Linked DNA regions of Schizosaccharomyces pombe. The protein of the gene in region 1 binds, or shares a complex with, the protein of each later gene. Each region holds a gene or a part of one and is shown on either strand. Other genes may lie near its edges.

Evidence for each region.
Region 2: mrp5 (region 1) and mrp2 share a complex: the UniProt entries of both Schizosaccharomyces pombe proteins name them as parts of the mitochondrial small ribosomal subunit.
Region 3: mrp5 (region 1) and rsm24 share a complex: the UniProt entries of both Schizosaccharomyces pombe proteins name them as parts of the mitochondrial small ribosomal subunit.

What each region holds. Positions count from the first base shown.
Region 1 is NC_003424.3:2,283,932-2,287,891, reverse strand, and holds mrp5 (mitochondrial 37S ribosomal protein uS5m), read left to right. Parts: upstream 1-1,878; 5' UTR 1,879-2,098; coding exon 2,099-3,047; intron 3,048-3,174; coding exon 3,175-3,389; 3' UTR 3,390-3,410; downstream 3,411-3,960. Other genes in the region: SPOM_SPAC4G9.19 (DNAJB family protein), read right to left, coding at 1-515; rpl901 (60S ribosomal protein L9), read left to right, coding at 3,683-3,960. UniProt on the Schizosaccharomyces pombe protein: Component of the mitochondrial ribosome (mitoribosome), a dedicated translation machinery responsible for the synthesis of mitochondrial genome-encoded proteins, including at least some of the essential transmembrane subunits of the mitochondrial respiratory chain.
Region 2 is NC_003424.3:2,504,217-2,507,611, forward strand, and holds mrp2 (mitochondrial 37S ribosomal protein uS14m), read right to left. Parts: upstream 1,669-3,395; 5' UTR 1,629-1,668; coding exon 1,374-1,628; exon of another isoform or gene 1,325-1,373; coding exon 1,278-1,324; exon of another isoform or gene 1,237-1,277; coding exon 1,221-1,236; 3' UTR 1,049-1,220; downstream 1-1,048. Other genes in the region: AP-3 adaptor complex subunit Apl6, read left to right, coding at 1-1,048; mitotic spindle checkpoint WD repeat protein Bub3, read right to left, coding at 2,083-2,723, 2,769-3,090. UniProt on the Schizosaccharomyces pombe protein: Component of the mitochondrial ribosome (mitoribosome), a dedicated translation machinery responsible for the synthesis of mitochondrial genome-encoded proteins, including at least some of the essential transmembrane subunits of the mitochondrial respiratory chain.
Region 3 is NC_003424.3:562,188-565,589, reverse strand, and holds rsm24 (mitochondrial 37S ribosomal protein mS35), read right to left. Parts: upstream 1,665-3,402; 5' UTR 1,421-1,664; coding exon 1,126-1,420; intron 1,117-1,125; exon of another isoform or gene 1,038-1,116; coding exon 556-1,037; 3' UTR 517-555; downstream 1-516. Other genes in the region: phospholipase D Pld1, read left to right, coding at 1-422. UniProt on the Schizosaccharomyces pombe protein: Component of the mitochondrial ribosome (mitoribosome), a dedicated translation machinery responsible for the synthesis of mitochondrial genome-encoded proteins, including at least some of the essential transmembrane subunits of the mitochondrial respiratory chain.

The DNA of each region.
Region 1 (3,960 bases):
TCGTCAAATTTTCTGTTTTTATTAGAAGCATTTTGGTCATTCATATAATCATAGGAATTGTAGTAGTATTCTTCCCAAGACCCCATACCAGCAGAACGACGAGATCTTGAATAGGTAGGATACCTCGCTTGAGACCAATTTTGAGGCGAGGGATGTGTAGGATGAGACGGCTGATTCCAGTGAATTCCAAATCTATCGTATTCCTCACGACGTCTCTTATCAGATAGTAAAGCGTTGGCTGCCAGCAATAAACGAAAGTACTCTTCGTTGTGCTTATTAATTTCTGGCGGAGATTCCGTAGGCGCTAGCTGAGATGCATTCTTCATTTTGTCAGGATGATGCTTCTTAACCAGCTCAATATATTTTCGTTTAATGTCATTAGCCGTACACGTACGAGGTAGTTCCAAAATTTCATAAGGCGTCAATGACTTCAATTCGGAATAGGAAGTAAAACTGGCTGCTCGCCTCCATAAGCTATTTCGCACAAGATTTAACCGAAAAAATATCTTTGACATGTTCAAAACTTGTTCCAACAGAGGCGACGTTAGTTTCTGGATACGATGGAAGCTTTTATGTAGTTAATATTCAACTGAGTAAGATATCAATGTTGCTTCATTGAATGCAAACCGGCTGATCGAGCGCTGCTTTTTTTAAAGTAAAAACCGCAAGATACTCTGGTTCTATATAGTTTTAAAGCTGGATATGTAAAAGGAAGCTGGTTTGGTAAATATTTCAAGAGTTGGTACCATATCCGTCTGCTATCCCTATTTCGTGCCCTTGCTATACTACGTGGGCGAATCGCAGAGTTGTTGAGCTGCACCAACGAATGAGAAGGAAACGCAGGAAAATGTAAAGATTTAGAGTAATGGTATTTAGTAATAACAAACTTATTTTTATTTTAATATTCTTTTAAGAAAATACAAAATTTAATCGCAAACGAATTGAAATATTTTGGAAATTCTTTTTTATTGCCTTTCAAGGACGCCTTTCCTTCGTTAAAGACGCATCATTCTTTTATCGATAGATTTGAAAAAGAAGATCTTTAGTTTCAATCGTACAACACAATTCTTGCTACACGGTGTTTTTTGTTTGTTTGCATTTCGCGTTTCTTTGACCTACAACGTTGAATAGCGTCGCATTGGTGACTTACCTTGGAAATACGTTATTTATTTTCCGTTCGTAATTCTCAAAATTACAGGTTTGCCGTGGATTAAAAGATAATTTGGTCCACGCTTGCTCTTTAACTATCTTGATTGCCCTAATTGTTGTTTCTTTTAAAAAATTTCTAGAATCTTAAGTACTAAAAAAATTTGCCGAAGAGTAATTTTGAGGATAATATGGAAGTGACTATTATTTTGCTTTATTTAAAAGATTCTTTTTTTTCTCTTTTGCCTATCATGTATCCTTTTAATCATATAGTTAGGTTGAAATCAGTGATCTTTTCAATTCATTTCTTCCATGTACAATTTCAGCCGCCGCTTGTTTACAAATATAATGAGCTATTTCAAATTGTTCATTGCATCGCTAACTACGTATATTTGCTTGTAGTTCGTGCACCGTATTCATATTTATGAAGTCGAATGTACTACATTAAATGGGTGCCTTAGAAGCGTTCTTTGTAAACGGAGGATGATGAAAGGAAATCAAGAGAGAGAACTCAGAAAAAAAGGAGTTGTTAACCAGACGATAAATCAGAATTACAAGACGAGCTGATCCTAGAAAGTGATGTGCGGTTTTATGTACTTTGTCCATACCACTACTAAATAGGAACAGTAGCGAATCGTACCGAAGCGCCCTAACTACAACCAATGCCAAAGTGGTAAGTAGTTTCACGGCTGAGACAGTTATAAATTTATTTGTGCGATTCAAAAAGCATTTAAACTCATCGATAGCATTTTTTTTTGACTGAGTATCTCTTAGGGTTTTCCTCCCGTCTTTATAGCGTTAGTGACACCCTTGGTTGCAAAGTGCAATAAATATATAGGTGGTTCGGCTTTTATAAAGCGATTCCAGGAAATATTCTTACTTTCACTGCTAAGGTTCACTAAAAATTCATGATCATAACTTAAAAAATAATTTTTTTATTGATTTAATTACGATGTTACGCTCATTTTCACATTTTCTACAAATTGGCTCGAGGCGGCAGCCAACTTATTTTCGGTGTTTCCATAAAACTACCGTACATCTTAACTCTTTTAAGAATGATCCCAAAAAGGAATTAAATTCCAATTTAAACGAAAAATCCGTAGAGGAATCATCCAAGAATGAAACCAAGGAACAATTTAACTCATCGTCTATACCAAGAGAGAGTGAATCTGAAGGTAAAACTGCGTCAAATACTTCCCCATTATCACCAAAAAAGGTAGAAAATCTCAGCAAGCTTTTTAACGACATTAATGAAGATGTTTCTATCGAAGAGTTAAAGTCTCGTTTCAAAGATCACCTTCCTTTCTATGAAAACTACATTCGTAATCATCCTCTAGCCATTGAAGCACTCCAAAAGTCTACAGCACCACGTCAAACTGGTTTGAAATTGAACTATGTATCAAAATTGGATAAATATGTCACTCCTTTAGATGGATATTCTCATTTAGGATCGGAGGAGTCTAACGGGGAAATTCCTGATAAGTGGGAGGATTTTAAAGATGACCTCACGTTTGAAATTTCTTCAAAGTTTTCCCCATTTGATTTTGGCGATGCTGGTAAGAGCACAAGTGACGCTGAGTTTCTCTCGGATATTAGTGGAATCCCAAAGTCAGATCTCAGAGCCTTAATGTTCGTTCCCCTTGTAAGAAGACGTGTTGTTAATCAAACCCGTAAGGGAAAAATTGCCAGTATGTACGTACTGACTGTTGTCGGTAATCGAAATGGTGTTGCTGGTTTTGGTGAGGGAAAAGCCGAAAGCTATTCATTAGCATACAAACAATCATGTGGACGTGCTGTTAAAAATATGGTTTACATACCTCGCTACGATAAAAGGACTGTATATGGCGTTATTCATAAAAAATTTCATGCTGTCCGGTTAACATTACGATCTCGTCCAGCCGGTATGTTGTTCATTTGTTCTATAAATAATCTTTTAAAAGCTTAGACAGTTCTGTTTTCTGTTTATCGATTAGTTTTATTCGACATGTTTACTTGTCCTGCAATGACAATTTTACTAACTAAATATAGGTTTTGGACTTCGATGCAACCCCATCCTTCATGAGATCTGTAGATGCGCAGGTATAAAGGATATTAGTGGTGAGATACTTGGTTCTAAGAATGGAATGAATACTGTAAAGGCGATGTTTGAGGCTTTACAAAGTCAACGTCTCCCTGAGGATATTGCCATGGAGCGCGGCCAAAAGTTTGTTGATGTACAACGCGAGTATTACAAACAAACATGATAAAGTGACTTTTATTTTTTGTATAGATAAATATTCAATGCAGTCAGTACTCTAATTCTTTACTTCTGGAAACCATTGTGCAGCTTTGTTGTGCAAGATATTCATCTACATCCAATTTGTATCATTATTTCTTTAAACATCGTACATCATTAAAGTCTGAATAAGCTCGTTAATTATAACGTACTACAAAACTCCTATCACTCAACCCTACCCTAGCTAAGAAGTACAGTCACAGGCCTTCGAAACGGAAATTATCTTAGACAAAATTAACGACACCACCAACACTTTGCAGGATGGGACGTGATATATACAAGGACGAGACTTTGACAATCCCCAAGGGTGTTACTGTTGACATTAAGGCACGTAATGTTACAGTTACCGGTCCTCGTGGTACTCTCAAGCAAAACTTGCGCCATGTTGATATTGAAATGAAGAAGCAAGGCAATACTATTAAGTTCATTGTCTGGCACGGATCTCGCAAACATAATGCTTGCATCCGTTCCGTCTATTCTATCATTAACAACATGATTATCGGTGTCACCCAAGGTTTCCGCTACAAAATGCGTCTTGT
Region 2 (3,395 bases), 220 kb from region 1:
TAACATTTCTATGGCCCCCTCTTGTCTTAACACTTTATTGCTGTTACTTAAATCACATAATAGCCTTATCGTGACAGAAGCTGCCTCTTCACTTCGGCTTCTCATTCATAATGATCCTAAAGAAATATATCTGCAGTATTTAGCTGCAACGTATGAAACTTTGGAAGTACCGCGGGCCAAATCCGTTACACTATGGCTTATTTCGGAGCATATACTAATCATACCGCGACTAGTCCCTGATGTGCTACGCATTGCTGTTAAAACTTTTGCTGATGAGACATTAGAAGTGAAGTATCAAATTCTCGAATTATCGGTAAGACTATATGTTTTGTCTCATTCTGAAGAGAAGCAAAACGATTTAGAGTCAAGAGATGATGTCGTGTCACTACTTTTTAATTATGTTTTATCTTTGATACACTTTGACATGAGTTACGATTTACGAGATAGAGCTAGGTTTTACAAAGAACTAGCTAGTACACCGAGTTCTGAATTTACTAGGCGCATCGTATTGGAAAGCAAGGGGAATAGTCAAAAAGAAATTATTGCTTCTCGGGACTACTGCATTGGTACCGCTAGTTTATGTTTGAATGAAGACGTGATGGGATATGAGCCAATCCCTAACTGGGCTGATGTCTCTGATTTACCGCCTGATTCTGTCCGAGAAGGTATCAAGGATGTTTTGCCAATAAACCCTCATACGGGAAATATTTATTCAAACAATTCACCGGGTGTGAAAGCATTATCTTCTGATAACTTTAAACGTGATTTTGGAGATACTAACGCAATTAACCGTCCAAAATTTGTTGGCCAGCAAACGCTTGAAGAATTTTATGCTAGTGAAACTTCTGAAAGTTCTGAAGGAGAATATGAAACATCAACCAGTGAAAGTGAAGATGAAGAAACGGATGATACTTCTCAAGAGGAAGACAACGAAAAAAATAGTACACCTGATGAAGATACAGAGAACAACAATACCAGTTCTATATCTACTAAAAGTATAATGGATAGGCCGCTCACAGAACCTGAACCTAACTATTGGCAATCATAAACAATTGATAATGTAAATATTCAGTTTTGGAATGTAATCATGCAAATAATTGTACTTCATTTAAACGGCGAATAAATATTAGCTAATAATAAACATGATGGATTCACGGAAGATAATTAAAGCTTTTTATTTCAATAACGCTTATCATGGATTGAAATACAAACAACGATTATTACCATGATGCCTTGCTGAATGGATTAGTGACAAAAGTAAAAATGCTTATTCTTACCGAACTCCGGGTAATTTATTAGCTAGTGCTTTAAGTCGAAAAGGAAACTGAAATAGTCAGCATCAAAAATGCATTTATATGACATTATAATCGTACCCTTGCAAGTCCAAACGCACGAAATACACCTCGGCCTCTACCTGTCTCAATACAGCGATTTTTTATTTTTGTAGGATGTGCATTAGTCGGTAAAGCCTCAATCCGCTTTTTGGCTTCTAAACGCACCCGAAGAGGTAGCTCAGGATTTCTATATATATAGAGATTGCTTTGACGTTCAACTTCGTGTTCAGCAAAAAGTCTCCTACATAATAAATCACGAAATGCTTTATGCTTCAGGTGGCCCAAAGCCCTCATATTTTTTATTTCTGGTTTAGAAGGCTTCTCTGTTGTGTTCAAATTGTGAGTGTATTCTCAGTAGATGAAATAGTCAAAATAAATTACGAACTGCGCTAGCGATCTGTATAATTATAGTTATTTTAATAACTATAAACAATGTGAATAAGAGAAACAAAGTAAATTAGATAATTTCTACCAAATAGTGTCACATTGTTTTTATATTAAGTATTTTTAATCGTAACCCGTTCTTTATATAAATATGGTCTTGCGTTTATATTAATTGCTTATTAACTTAATATATATAGTGGAATAAAAAATAATAAATACCGTAATTATCACTTTGAAGCACTGAGGAAATATTGAACATTTACAACATTAAATAGGAGTGCTTCAAATAATATAAATTTCATATGTATGCAGTAAAAGAATCTGCATAAGATTTTACATGGATGAAGCTTTTTGATGAGCGATTTCATGACTTTAACTTTGGAGCTGCAAAGTTGGATTCCAAAGCATGAACATAGATATTACCAGCGGCTTCTTCTTGAGCACAAGTGGCAATTGCAAGCATGCTTCCGTCAACATTAAAAGAAATAGATGATATATTGATCTTTGAAGGATTTAACACTCTTAATCGTTTTCGGACTTGTATATCCCAAAACGCAACAACGCCATCTCCCCCAGCAGTTGCCAATGTTTGATGAATCGGATGAAATTTTAGGTCGTTAACTGGATAAACAATATCGTAGTCCTTTTGTATCTGCCGATGGCATTTAAAGGTAAAATTTTTGCTTTGCGCTTCCTGAGACGGGTTAATATATTCAACAGATGTCCTTCCCTCAATGCTGGAAGAAACGAATCCCTCAAAATTTTGGTTACAGCAAACACTTCGAGTCATATACTTAAAACTAGAAGGACGTCGCTGAAATGGAAGTTTTAAATTTCGAATATCGTACACCAAATTTTCTCTTTCTGAACAGCCTAGAACCAATATATTATCTCTCGAGCTACTTGCAAAAATTTTTTTTCCTATATCCTGTCCCTCGACAGGTTGCTTTACGCGAACATCCCAAACACGAAATGATTTGTCCCAAGACCCACTAATGAAACAGTCTAAAATGTTAATAGAATAGCTGGCTAATAAAATATATATCTTACTTTCCAAACGCAACTTAGAAATGCACGATACCCCCTTACCGTGGTTTCCTAAAAACTCATGGTTTCGCGTATTAAGATCGAGGGTAGTAACTGTCCCATCTAAATTTCCTACTAAAGCAGTTTTTTCATCTGTATATTCTAAAGAAAGAATAGGACTTGATAAATCGTATTTCCCTAAAAGTTCGGGATTTTCCGAGATTTGATAATGCAGTAAGCTACCATCCCAGCACCCTGCAATTAGTTCGTTTTTGACAGAGGGTGAAAATATTACACTTGAAATCCCGTCTTTTGAATTTTTTAGTAATGTTTTTGAGAAATTCATGGCAGACTGACAGATGACATGAAAAAGGAGTTTGGCGAGGTATAGGCCTTTAAATGTTGCTTCAAAAGGACAACGTCGAAGTTCGATGGTAATTGACCGAATTTTACGAAGATGAATTTCCAACGATGCCGATTATATTAGGTGTTAAACATAAATACTTACGTTTTCATACGCGCAAATTACTGTTTCAGCTTCTTTTCAACAAATTTTGACAGTCTGTGCCTCACAAGTATCTAAGATAAGCGAAGCGAATTGCTAATAGCTGTGTAAAATAAATTGCAAAGGAGCTGATTCTGACAGTTTAA
Region 3 (3,402 bases), 1.7 Mb from region 1:
CTACTATTTATCGGCACATATTTCGATGTGTACCGGATGACGAGATGCTAACGTGGGAATCATATAATGAGTGGAAAAAATATGGAAAACGCTTTAAAGAAGAGCAAGCCCGCTGGCGTCAGGAGGAGTTGTCAAATCTACACGAAACTCATGAAAAGTCAGAGAATGATCCAAAAAATCCAAAGGCTGGTTCCCAAGGTAGTGGTAACACGAGTGCAAGTGAAGATTCGAAGACAGAGAAACCAAAAACCCGTACTAATAATGGTTTACAAGTTCCTGACAAACGTGTAGTTTACGACTTACTACGTGGCATTCGGGGACAGTTGGTAGAACTTCCATTAAAATGGATGTCTACCGAATCAAACGCAAGAAATTGGCTCAGTAGTATTGACAAAATCCCTCCGTTAGAAATTTATGATTAGAGAAACAGTACCTTTTATACTACAGTTTTATTTCATCTTAATATAGTAATGAGAAGGATTAATTCCTTCAATATTAGCTTACATTATAGACTCGTTAATTTTAATAGTAACTTAAACAAACTTTCCTTTCATATTATTCATCTGTAGTTGCTATCGATTCTCGTTCAAGTACTGTATTATGTGATTGCTTGCCAATCGTTGTTTTCTTTTTAGAAGTGAGTGTAGTTGCGTCTGCGAGCCATTCCTGTGGCATCCGTTTATCACACTTCTTGTATTTCCAATGGCCAGTATTCAATGGGACATGTGAAAATTTTTCAGCATTTCTCTTCGATTCTTCAATGAGCGAAGTTAATATCTTTATAAGATGATATTTATTTTGTAGTGCAGAAGAATACTTGTCGGAAGATATTCTGACTAAATCCTCCTCCGGATTATATCTTGGTCCAACCAATAATCGTAATACATGTCGTTGTTTCTCCTCTAGCAAAGGAATATTCGTAACTTTAAATGTAACAACGACCTTCGGATTCATTTTCTCAAACGAAGACATTTGGACATCAGATTCAAACCTAAAGATCTGGCTATCAGCAGGCTTTTTAAAAGACTGTGTGTAAGCTATAATTGTCAGAGAAAATGGAACATTAAGCATATTAAAGTGATTGTGAAATAGAATTCCTAAGGTAAAACTACCCAGTAAACTTACGCGTAAGTCCAGGAAGCTCATAAGCAGCTTTCCTATACAATTCACGTATGACCTCGTGCTCTTGTATTTTCTGCCATGATAGATTATTGGAATGGACGTTATCATCAATTGTTTTCAATTCCTTCTCGTCATGAGGCTCGATTCCAAAAGGCGCTGACACATAAGCACTTCGCTTAAATCTTGTAAAATAGAAAACAGAGAAAGCTCTACTAGTAGCACAAAAGCTTGATTTGGAAAGTTGCCCGAGGAATATGGCATCTGCTTTCAATAAAGATAAAAGGGGATTAAAAGCCATTTTATAACCACCCAAAACACTAAATATATGTAATATTTGTATTATAAAAAAAAATAAACCACATTTAACGAATGCGCAGTAGTGTATGATACCGGATTTTATATTTTCTTTGAAACGAAAAGAGTGGCCGTTATAAATGGAAATCTGAATCTAACAAAAACTTTTTTTCTAAAATTTAACAATCCAAATGCTCAAAACAATTAAATAAGCTACAAAAAGGTACTTGAAGGGGATAGTGAAGAATGTATAAACATTGTTGTCCTTGACTTGACTTCGTTGTATATAATTATAACACACTAAATCTTAGTAGTTAGAACCAGTAAAAACCACATAATAGACTGGAATGAAGGTTAGTAACGTAAAATAGCATCGATTCTACTCAATTGCATTTATAACATCTATTGAATAAAAACACCTAATAATACTTTCAAGCTTTTTTTTTTCTTAGGAATTTAATAGCACTTGCTTCCCATCCTTTTTTGGCATTCGCTGTTTAAAAAGTGTGTTAGTTATCCTTATATTTTGATTTTCGTAAGCAAGACTACACTACGTTACGCTGCGTATCACTATATGTCATCTGTTAGGATAGATTTAAGATTCGTTTACTAATAATTGCTGATAACTATTCTTTTGAGTACTTGTTTGTGTTTGATCATGTTTACTCCAAAAGATTATAAACAGAGTACATCTGAACAGAAACAGGTTCGTTTATATGTTAATTAATGGCAGGTAACAACGTAACCCATGTATAAATACTTACAACAAATTGCTACCCACATCACACCTATATATAATATGATATTACCGATCACAATGAAAACTCACAGAAGTCAAACAAGATACTACAATGCGCAGCTAGATAATATTGCACTTTCATTACTAGCGCTATTTAGTAAATAATTAAAAGAAGTTCGATTCAATTGTAAGTTTCATGAGAAAACAGGAAACTCCATTTAAGAATGATTTAAATATAAGAAAAAGACGCAATGTTTTTAAGAAAATGGGGTAAACAGAGTGATGGCAAGTCATCTGCTCAGCGTCTAGTCATTATTATTCCCTGTATGTGTTAATTCAAGCCTATCAAAGTAAAATAAAAAATTTTTTACGAAATAATCTTTTATTGAACTTGATTTAAAAAATCTGTATTTTTTATTTAACTATATTATTATGAACGTGAAATAGTGCTTAATTGGGTTCTTTAACCGTGATGTTTACAATGTTTGTATTGTATTACTTTTAAGTTAAGTAAAAACTAAATACCTTGACCCACATAACTTGTTCTTTGCAAAAATGTTAAGGAGCTGAGTATTTTAGAGTACTCAACACGAATGGAAGTCAATGCATATAACAATCTGTAGACAGTAATATTAGACTGTTAATGTTTACATGAGTCATTTGTAAAAAAAAAAAAAAAAAAAAAAAAATTATAAAATAATTGAATAAATAACCTATTACAGAAATCTTCAGACAACGATATTTTATTAATTTATTCCATTGCAATATTGCTTTAATACAATTTGGCTTGACATTGTGATGGAATTGACATGGATAATTTAAAATAATTAATTAAAAATTTTGTTGAAATTAATTGACTATTAACAATTCATGAAGTATCGTAAATCTGCCCTGATAAAATAAAATTTAAAAAAGTGTTGAAAGTGTTAATGGCTTTATAATTTGTAAACTTAGCCGTTTATTAAGTTTGAATATTGATAATTATTGAAGAATAAAGCATTATTTCCATTTTTTCTTCGTTGATTCATAGCTTTCATCAGACCTCTTCTGACCAAGGTTGACTAATGTATACAATTTGATTTTAATGACAATTCTTTCTTCTTATTAATAGTTTTTGCATAATTTTTCCCCAGCTTCTTATTTAATCCATCGAATATTTCAAATTTACTAACCCATCATCATTTTACCTTTAGATATTTTACGAGGAGCAACGCGTTACTTTAGCGGTTTAAAATTCTTTAGCTTTA